Linked DNA regions of Macaca mulatta. The protein of the gene in region 2 binds, or shares a complex with, the protein of the main gene of each other region. Links are inferred from orthologs where the notes say so. Each region holds a gene or a part of one and is shown on either strand. Other genes may lie near its edges.

Region 1 (4,882 bases), about 190 Mb from region 2:
CATTTTCCTTAATTAAAGCAAATCTTCCCTGTATTTAATTGGAGTCAGAGTTTACAGCATCTTATTAAAAAATCCCAGAATAATTAAAACAACCAGTTCAGAAGCATAAAGAATATTTTAACCAGTTAATCTGACAAAATAATCGAGGTTAGGATAGTCCAAAGGACCATCAAAAGCCAATTCATAACTTGCCCTGGAGGATGACCAACTGAGTTGATTCCAATTCAGAACAGAGATATTCAATGAATAGTATCTCATGGACTAAATACTTATAAAGTGTAAAGATAATACTCTTATTTTGGACAAAACTATTGATTTCAAAAAATGTCATAACCTATGCCCACTTTAAAAAAAAATGCAGCGAAACAAGGCACATGCTAAAACTTCTTAAACACATACAAAAACTGCGATCTATCTGCTGAAAAGGATGCATATTTGCACACCAGAGTTACCATTACATTGGGTCAAGGGTTAAAAGCAGTGATTTTGAAGGTATGGCCCGAAGACCATTATCATTCCTGTTAAAAATGTACCCAGACCTAATGAATCCAAAGCTCAGAAGAAATACACCACTTAAATCACACCCTTCCAAGGTAAGCACACTTAAATTTGAAAACCACTGGTTTAAGAGTTAGACTAGTAAGGACAGTCAGTAAGACACAAATACAAACTAAAACACTAACAAATTCAGACAGATCAGTTAAAAAGCTATCAGTTTACCAATCATATATAAGCATTCCCTTTCTTCTTTGCTAGTAAGCTTTTATCAAAAAATTAATGAAAACCGTAGTTTCAGCCAGCCAGGAAGGCAAACAGTATAGAACAAGTTGGAAAATCCTAAGATTCTGGAAGAAACAAAATGTTTTCCCACAATTGCAAAAGTAGAGAATAGATCATCAAATGCTTATCTCTTACTTTAAGTATTTCCACAATACTCTATGATTGATTAATGAACAGTTTTTCATCAGGCCATGAATCTGTCCTTAAGCTTGATTTTGCCCATTTGTTGTCCATTCCACGTTGTTCTTTTAATCATCTGCTTAGGTCTTCTACAGTAAGTAAGCAAGAGAATGCTGAGATGGCACTTAAGTACCATACCTGTGAGGCCAAGATTGCTACTGGCATACCCAGTGCTCTACACCCATGTAACTGCACTACTAGCCTTGGCAGCCATCTTGAAAATGATGCCCGGCTCACAAGGAAGCCCATGGAATACTGTGCGTCTACTGCACGTTACCACCACCACTGCCACAAACAACCCGAAGGGTAAGTCCTAAAGACGTATCTGCAGCTTTACCTTCAAACAGGAAGAACAATGTCAAGTTACTAGTGACTATGGCCACTCTAATAAGCTACAGCCAGGGATCTAGCGGAAATTGACTTCATCAGCATGATTTTAGGACAAGGAAGAATGAAATAAGAACTGAAGGAAAAAAACCATTTTCTTGCAGATATATTATTTATGAACAAATAAAAACAGTTCTCTCTGGTCAAAGCTGTGCTAATACAGAATTTATCTCAGGTATTAAAATGAAACGTGAAACAAAGGCAATACAACCTCTCGGTAAAGATGACAAAACCTCATATACTTGACACGTCAAATCCTCTTACCCCCAAAATGTTAACAAGGCGTAAATATCCGATGTCAGTGGATCACATTCTCAAATACCGAGTTCAATAAAGTAGAAAAGGATGACAAGAATAAAAATCTACTGGACCGTACTTTCCCGTTTACCCTGTTAAGGAATGGCTCATTCACTCCGCTTGCCTTTTAAATTGCTTTGTGCTGTGACGAAGCCCTTGAAGTTAGCTTCAAATTAATATTTAGCTGCAAAACAAAGGCATTCTCTAAACCCAAATCCCTCCAGTCGTCAAGGAAAACAAACAGACAAAAAATCACATTAATACACCAGAGGTAGTAAACGCCTTTCAGAAGAGGACTGTGGATTGGCACAGCAAGAAGCAAGCAAGAAGGTAGGATGGAGGCTTCAGAGCCCAGCAGCTCACCTGTTGATGAAACCATATCCGTTCCTTACATTGAACCATTTTACTGTTCCCAAAACCTTCGTTGCTGGAAAAGAAAACAAAGCAAAACAAGCCACGATTACCAGCTATCCTTTTCCAAACCCGTCTCGCTTCGGCATCCGGTCCCTCGCACGCTGCCCGCCGCGGCCACCTGACAGCCCTTTCTCTCCACCGCCTGGGTGCGGGTCCGCGCCGGGGCCACGCCGCCGCCGCCGCACACGTGGGTGAGTCTGAAGCGCGGGGCGCTCCCGGGCAGGCCCGGGGCGCGGGCCCAGGATGGGTGTGTTCGCAGGCCGCGGACGGAGAGCACGTGAGGGAAGGGGAAGCCGCTCCGGACTGCGTAGGCGGTGCGCCGCGCTCTCCGAGCACACGCGGAAGGGAGCTGGGTGGGGGAGACGCGAACAACGGCGTGCGGGCCCGAGCGCACGAGGCCAGTCGGCGGGGAGGGGACCCCGTCGCACACGCGGTCGGCGGCGCGCGGCCGCAGGAGGAGGGGCGCGCGGCCGCGCGGGGTCCACAGGGGGCGCGGGAGGCAGTGTGCGCGCGCCTGCCGGGCGGGCCCCCGCAAGAGCGAGTGGGGGGGCGGGGGGAGGGGCGGCCGCGCGCCGCGGAGTCGGTCCCCACCGGCCGCGCGCCCGCCGGCTCGCCCAGCCCCGGCTAACGGTTCCGCTGCCAGGCTGCCCGAGGGCCCCACCCCCGTCCCTGTCCGGTCCTCACCGATGACCTTCTTGTCCCCGCCGGCAGGCGCCGCCGATGTGAGGCCGCCCGGGCCACCGCTCCCTGCGCCGCTGCCCGTAGTGCCGGGCTTGGTGTCGGCGGCGCTGAGGGCGGGGGCGGCGGGGGGGGCGGCGGGCGGCTGCTGGGTCTCGGCCTCGCTGCTCATGGTTGCGGTGATGGTGACTGGGGCCGGCTGCGGCAGCTGCGGCTCCTCCCGGGGTGTGATGGTAACTAGGCCGGCGGCGGCGGTGGGGCTGCTCAGGGCTCTCTGGGGTCCGCTCTCCGCTCCCGCTACCGATCGAACTAGCGAGAATGGCGGGACAGGCGGGATAAGCCCTACGATCGACCCGCCCTAGGCGTTGTTCACTGGCCGGTGGTACTGTCAATCTGCCCACCTGACCTCAGTCCCTGGCTTCTATTGACTAACATTTTATCAGTCCTCCACTCTCATTGGCTGTCTGGCGGCTAATTCAGCCGACCTACAACCGTTCCTGCCTCCGCCGGCCGCCATAGAGACCGGAACTAGAATTAGAGTAGTCGGCCACGAAAACCATAGAGTACCTGAGAGGACGGGCAGAGGGAACGTGACTTCCACGAGGCAGTCGACGGGCTGGCGGGCCCGACGTTCAGGGTTGTGTCTCGGCTGAAAAAAAGGCACGCCCGAACGCTGGGCAGGGATTACCCGGCCGGACCCGGGATTGGAAGGGGGCTCGACGACGCCTTAGCTCCCCGTGAAGAAAAGGCTTCCCTCCCTCCCTGCACCAAATACGGTCCCTGTGATCTGAGAACATTACGGCGGGCATAGAGTCGTCTTTTCTTTAATGGCCGTGTACTCGCGGCACAGCCGAGGGTTTCTGGAATTGCCTTAAACGTATGCGTTTGAAGAGCGTACGCTTTTGTCGGAGCAGTCACCTTGGAGGGACCACGCAGGCTCTGGCAGCCCGGGCTCAGCATGTTTAGGGCGAGGGTGTGCTCCATGGGGACCTGCCTTCTGATCCGTTTTACCAGGCATATATTTTTAAAAATGTGTCTTCCTTTTCAAGTGTTAACGTGTTTTTCTACTGGCCACAAATCAGATTTAATTCAACTCACATTTATTGAACAAGCTAGCGTCCTATGTTTTTTTTCATTTAATTCGTACAACAGCCATGTGATAGAGGAATTACTATCCACGTTTCACAAACGATAAAATTGAGGCTGCCACCTGATGTTACTGAAGTCCTCCACCCACCTTCTTTCGTTCTTTTTTAAGCGTCTACTATCGGCTGGGGATGGAATAGTTCGCGAGTCAGTTTCTGCCTTCTGATGGAGGCAGAAATTTAAACAGCCAACACGGTAAATACTCCAGAGCTGCAGAAGCACGAAGTATTTTGGGAGTAGAAGCAGGGAGAAGGTGGAGGGCTGACTTTCTGCGCACAGGGTACAGGCGAGAAGAGGTGGGATCTCGGGAAATGCAGTCAAGTAGTTCAGTAAGACTCGAATGTGACATTGGGTTGCAGAGGTGGGCAGAGTCACTTAGGTGTATTGAATTGGAAATATATCCTGAGGGGAAGAGTGAGAAGAGCAATTTTAGAGTCGTAAGTAGGGAGGGGCATCTTTTTAAAAATGGCTGCGGAGTGGAGAATGGGTTGCAGAGGGGCAAGGAATGGAAGTAGAGAAAGCAGTTAGGAGGCTAGTGCAGTATCCCTTACCCCTACCAATGCCGTCTAGGCCTGTCAGTTCCACCTCCTAAAGGCCTTCTTGAGTCAGTCCTAAACTCTCTAAATGTCAATTCAGAGTCTTCATTCCTACTGCCACTACTGTAGGCCATCATCGCCAATTGCTTAGAGCAAGGGGTAGGAACTTTTTCTGTGAGAACCAAATAATAATACAAGCTTGGCCGACAATATGGTTCTGACTTACTACTCAGGTTTGGAGCTTGAAAACAGCCCTAATTTTTACATGACACGAATCTTTACATATTTTCAACTATTTAAACATTTTAAAAACGATTCGTATTCTTAGCTCATGAGCCACAGAAAAACGGAGTGTAGTTGGCTGATCCCTAGTATAGAGCAGTGCTGTTGGCTACTAACCACACCTCTCTACCTCTGTCTTACTCTAATATTCCTCACCACAACAGCCAGAAAGTTCTTTTGAG
Region 2 (4,882 bases):
TGTTTTCATATCACTAATATTTAAAAGTGTAAATAATATCTAGGACACATAAATTTAAAGAACCATCATAATTGTATTTAACTCTGATTCATTAAGGGATTAATTACCTAGTTTGTGAACGTGTAAGCCCCCTGTAGCTCTCTTCCCATTTTTGAACAAAAATAAAGAAGTTTCAAATTCAAGTTGGTGGCATATTTATAACCTTCAAAGACATTATAACCAAAGGCTAAAATGAGATTCTGGCACTGTTTGGAAGTTTCTATTTTGGGGGCTCGCCTCACCACTTAACTTGAACTGGGGATTATCAGTAGTACCGTACATAGTCCATTAATTTCAAGTCAAATCATTTCACAAATGTTAATATTTCACGTATACATGGCTGCAAGGTATGACAGAATGCTTCATAAAAGCCATTGAAAATAAACTTCAAAAGTAAAATGCATCAATCAGTTAAATCCCATTAGCCTATGGGAGAAATTTCAATATGTATACCTCCAAATTTCAAATTAATAATGGGGCAATATTATTGTGCCACCTAGAGTACCAAACAGTGGGTATAAACCATCTCCTTAGTCAGATGGAACACTGGCTGGACACTGCAGATTATCTGGGGTTTAAGACGTTAACTTCTATCACGAATCTAAATTCTGACTTCCCTGTCTAAAACTTCGGGAACATCACATCTTTTATTTAAAGCGAAAAAGTAAACTTCTAACATACAAAATAACGGATTTCTTTTCAAGAGCGATAGTCCTTTTTTTTTTTTTTTTTTTTTTAACAAAATCACTGCCCTTGATTTTTCATGAACTTTAAGTTTCAGAATGATTTGGTCAAGAGTATTTCTACAGGAATAGGAAGAGAATCAAGTGGGCCTATAATCAAAGACCTAGCTGGGTCTCACCCTCATGGTTAACTACTGAGACTTCATAGCCGATGACCAGGTCCTAAAGTGGACAGAACAAGCCTTACTGGAGGTCCGTCTTTGTGGTAGGTACAGAAAACTTGGAAATGCAATTCTGTGGTTTATTTAGGGTTATTAAGAGCATGAGAATAGCCCTGCAAAGGCTGGTAAACTAGGGTTTGCAGTATGGAGTAGTAAGCAAAGCCTCTACTTCCCAGGCCCTGCACCCGGGGTGTGGAACAGACAAAAGAACGGCTCTGCCCTTGCCCTTCTCGAACTTAAAATCCAATTCGCAAAGCAGGACTTACACATATTAAATCAAATACAGCATTATGCTGAAAAGAGCCCCTGCGTGTAACAGTTGCCAATGTGTGTTATACCAGTCAAAACGATTTGAAGGAGTTTTAAACGGAAAGCTGGAGAAACATACAAGAAGGCAGATCTAAGATGGAAGAAAAGGCGGATTCGGGTTGAAATGCCAAGTTGAGGACTGAAGAAAGCATTTGGACAAAGCAGCCTCCAGGCTGGGAAGGCGAAAAGCCAAACGAGTATAGCCACCAAAGACCCAGAAAGGCCAATAGATTGTGCAGTGAGTCGGTTTAACTGAAAGGCGGTTTCCTTTTCCTCCATTTGCTCAGTCCCAATTGGAAGCGCACTGCGCGGCCTGCGCCGCGCTCTCAGCCCGGGTTCGGCGTGGGGGCGGGGAGGTAAGTACGGTAATGGGCGGGGCCGAGCGCGGGCGCGCTCCGGCTTTCCTCCTGCGCAGCGCTCCCGTCAGCGCAGGGGGCGGGGCGCCTATATTACGTGCGCGGCGCCGCCCCTGCGAGAGGACGTTGCGTGCTCGCTCGCGCCAGGCGAGTCTCCGCGTCTCCCTCGCGAACTCGGTGAAAGGAATTGGCGCCGTTCGACACCAGGCGGATCCGCTCTGCAGCACGACCCCATCTCCAGCCGCAGCCGCAGCCGCCGCCCGGGCCGAGGAGCAGCCGCAGCAGCCGCCACCAGTGGCCGAGTGAGCGGAGCCGAGTTTGAGGCAGCGCCTAGCGGTGAATCGGGGCCCTCACCATGAGTTCCTCGCCTGTTAATGTAAAAAAGCTGAAGGTGTCGGAGCTGAAAGAGGAGCTCAAGAAGCGACGCCTTTCTGACAAGGGTCTCAAGGCCGAGCTCATGGAGCGACTCCAGGCCGCGCTGGACGACGAGGAGGCCGGGGGCCGCCCCGCCATGGAGCCCGGGAACGGCAGCCTAGACCTGGGCGGGGATTCCGCCGGGCGCTCGGGAGCAGGCCTCGAGCAGGAGGCCGCGGTCGGCGGCGATGAAGAGGAGGAGGAAGAGGAAGAGGAGGAGGAAGGAATCTCCGCCCTGGACGGCGACCAGATGGAGCTAGGAGAGGAGAACGGGGCCGCGGGGGCGGCCGACTCGGGCCCGATGGAGGAGGAGGAGGCCGCCTCGGAAGACGAGAACGGCGACGATCAGGGTTTCCAGGAAGGGGAAGATGAGCTCGGGGACGAAGAGGAAGGCGCGGGCGACGAGAACGGGCACGGGGAGCAGCAGCCTCAACCGCCGGCGACGCAGCAGCAACAGACCCAACAGCAGCGCGGGGCCGCCAAGGAGGCCGCGGGGAAGAGCAGCGGCCCCACCTCGCTGTTCGCGGTGACGGTGGCGCCGCCCGGGGCGAGGCAGGGCCAGCAGCAGGCGGGAGGTAAGAAGAAGGCGGAAGGCGGCGGAGGCGGCGGTCGCCCCGGGGCTCCGGCGGCGGGTGAGTGCTGCGTTGTACGTTGCGCGCGGCGGGAGGCCCGCGCGGGGTGGGGACCGTGCCCCAGGCCTGCCGGAGCCCCGCAGGGGGAGGGAGCCCCGGGCGGGCGGGGGGCCGCGGGGAGGGTGGCGGGTGGGGGAGGGGGCGCGGGGAATCCCAGATTAGCCGAGAGGCCTCGGGCTCGGGGCGTGTGTGCGTGTGTTCGTGTGTGTGTGTGTGTGTGTGTGTGACGGCGGTGGCAGCGCCTCCATTATGTGGCTCGAGAGCCGGGGGGAGCTGCAGCTGCCGCTGGAGGGGGAGGAGCCGCGGGCGGGCGGCGGGAGGGAGCCCGGTCGGCCCGCGGTGGCGCCGTCGCGCTGCGTGCGCGCGGTGCGGGCACATGTCTCGGGGGGAGGGGAGAGGCCCCAGGTCCCGGGGCGGGCGCGCTTTGGCGGCTCCTCGCCGCTGTATTGTGCAAGGAGCGCAGGGGCTCGGCGTGACGTCACTTCCTGCGGGAGGAGCCGGGCGGGGCGGGGCGGGGGGCGGAAGATCAGTACAATGCGGCCGCGGGGAGCGCGGGCCCGCGGGGGAGGGGAGCGCCGCCGCGCCGGGCTCGGCCCCTCCCCCTCCTGCGCCCTGGTCGCGATACACGTGGGCTTCGGGCCTGGGCCGCGCAGTTTTTCTTTGGGTTTCTCGAATCATCGAGGAGACTGGCAAAATTCGTAACGTCTTTAGACTGCGTCACTAGCGCTAATCCAATTCGTAGCTGATTGTTCTTCGAATTCACATTTGAGTCCTCGGTTAAAACCTCGGTTAAAAAGCAGGATAAAGTCGAGCTGCTTTGCTTCTCGGAACGGAAAAGCGTTTTTTTGTTGTTGTTTAGCGGCTTGGCCTCTTATGGGGGTCTTGTGTGTTTTAGGGGACGGCAAAACAGAACAGAAAGGCGGAGATAAAAAGAGGGGTGTTAAAAGACCACGAGAAGATCATGGCCGTGGATATTTTGAGTACATTGAAGAGAACAAGTATAGCAGGTATAGGATGCTCACCTAGTTTTACTTGTCATCCCTTATTCGTTCGTTGATCGGAAAGCTGTATCAGGAGACAATTCTGTCTTTCAGAGCCAAATCTCCTCAGCCACCGGTTGAAGAAGAAGATGAACACTTCGATGACACAGTGGTTTGTCTTGATACTTGTAAGTGAAGCTGTTTCTCCCCAATTATGAAATGCGGTGATGGTTTTTTTTTTTTTTTTGCTTCCAAAATGTTAGAAAACTTAATGCTTAAGTGCAGCAAAAGTTGGGTTAGGTTTTTTTAAAAGCAGGAAGAGATAATGGTTTATATTCAGAACCTAGTAGTTTAATATTTAGCACGGCATCAGTTGTATCAAATGGATTATTTTACAGGCTCTAGGAGTTTCATATTTTTATGACTTGAAAGTTCTCGTTCTTAGGAAATGTAAAATTAATGCCAGTTTCTGACTAGCTAACGGAAACTTGTAACACTACCTATAATTTAGCCTTACAGGCTTCTACAATAAAGTAATTCATTTTTTTGTGGAATTATATTAAGTGAGCTATTTGGGCTAGTTAAATATTTACTAATGACTTCTCCCATTAGCACACAAGTATATTCCCTATTCTAAAAGATTGTAATATTATTTTTTCAATAACTGCTCTTTTGTTCTCAATTCCAGTTCAGTAGCTGCTGCTTTAAACATAAGTTGATTTCTTCCAAAGACCTGAGGCAGCAGCAGTGGGCTATCACTGGGCCACTAGCTTTCTTCAGCAGCGAATGGTATCAATGGCAGTGCAGCACTGTAAATACTGCTACTTCACCCAGTTGGGTTGCAATTGAGTATGAGAAAGTATTGCAAACCTCTAAGTGGGCTTTGACTGTCAGACTTGCATTTTTTTTGTTGTTGTTATAAAAAAAAGTAGTTGGTTTAGTGACCAGAATTCACAACTCTGGGTGTGATAAATAGACCAAAGAATAGAAATACCTGTTTGAAAGTATCAGCTGTGGTGTCAGCCTGCTCTGTTAGATGGAGGGCATTGAAGCTTAGCTTCTCATGTTTTCTTGTACAATTTGGTTTTATTCAGATTTGTAAGAGTGTAAATGTAAAACTCTTTCTTACTGGAATGTCCTTTACAGAAGGTTGAGATAGTCATCTGAGCCTTTTTAAAGTAAAAAACTGCAGGTGAAAAAGGAGTTAGTTGATTTGAAAGTTTTATGTGAAATTCTGGGTTGTGTAAA

Evidence for each region. The genes of interacting proteins can lie anywhere in the genome.
Region 1: HNRNPU (region 2) and YBX1 share a complex: the UniProt entries of both Homo sapiens proteins name them as parts of the coding region determinant (CRD)-mediated complex. The link is inferred for Macaca mulatta from reciprocal best matches to the Homo sapiens genes HNRNPU and YBX1.

What each region holds. Positions count from the first base shown.
Region 1 is NC_133406.1:198,075,832-198,080,713, forward strand, and holds the start of YBX1 (Y-box-binding protein 1), read right to left. Parts: upstream 3,048-4,882; 5' UTR 2,909-3,047; coding exon 2,743-2,908; intron 2,608-2,742; exon of another isoform or gene 2,109-2,607; intron 2,072-2,108; coding exon 2,008-2,071; intron 1-2,007. UniProt on the Homo sapiens protein: DNA- and RNA-binding protein involved in various processes, such as translational repression, RNA stabilization, mRNA splicing, DNA repair and transcription regulation.
Region 2 is NC_133406.1:4,245,909-4,250,790, forward strand, and holds the start of HNRNPU (heterogeneous nuclear ribonucleoprotein U), read left to right. Parts: upstream 1-1,725; 5' UTR 1,726-1,963; coding exon 1,964-2,654; intron 2,655-3,549; coding exon 3,550-3,661; intron 3,662-3,748; coding exon 3,749-3,822; intron 3,823-4,882. UniProt on the Homo sapiens protein: DNA- and RNA-binding protein involved in several cellular processes such as nuclear chromatin organization, telomere-length regulation, transcription, mRNA alternative splicing and stability, Xist-mediated transcriptional silencing and mitotic cell progression.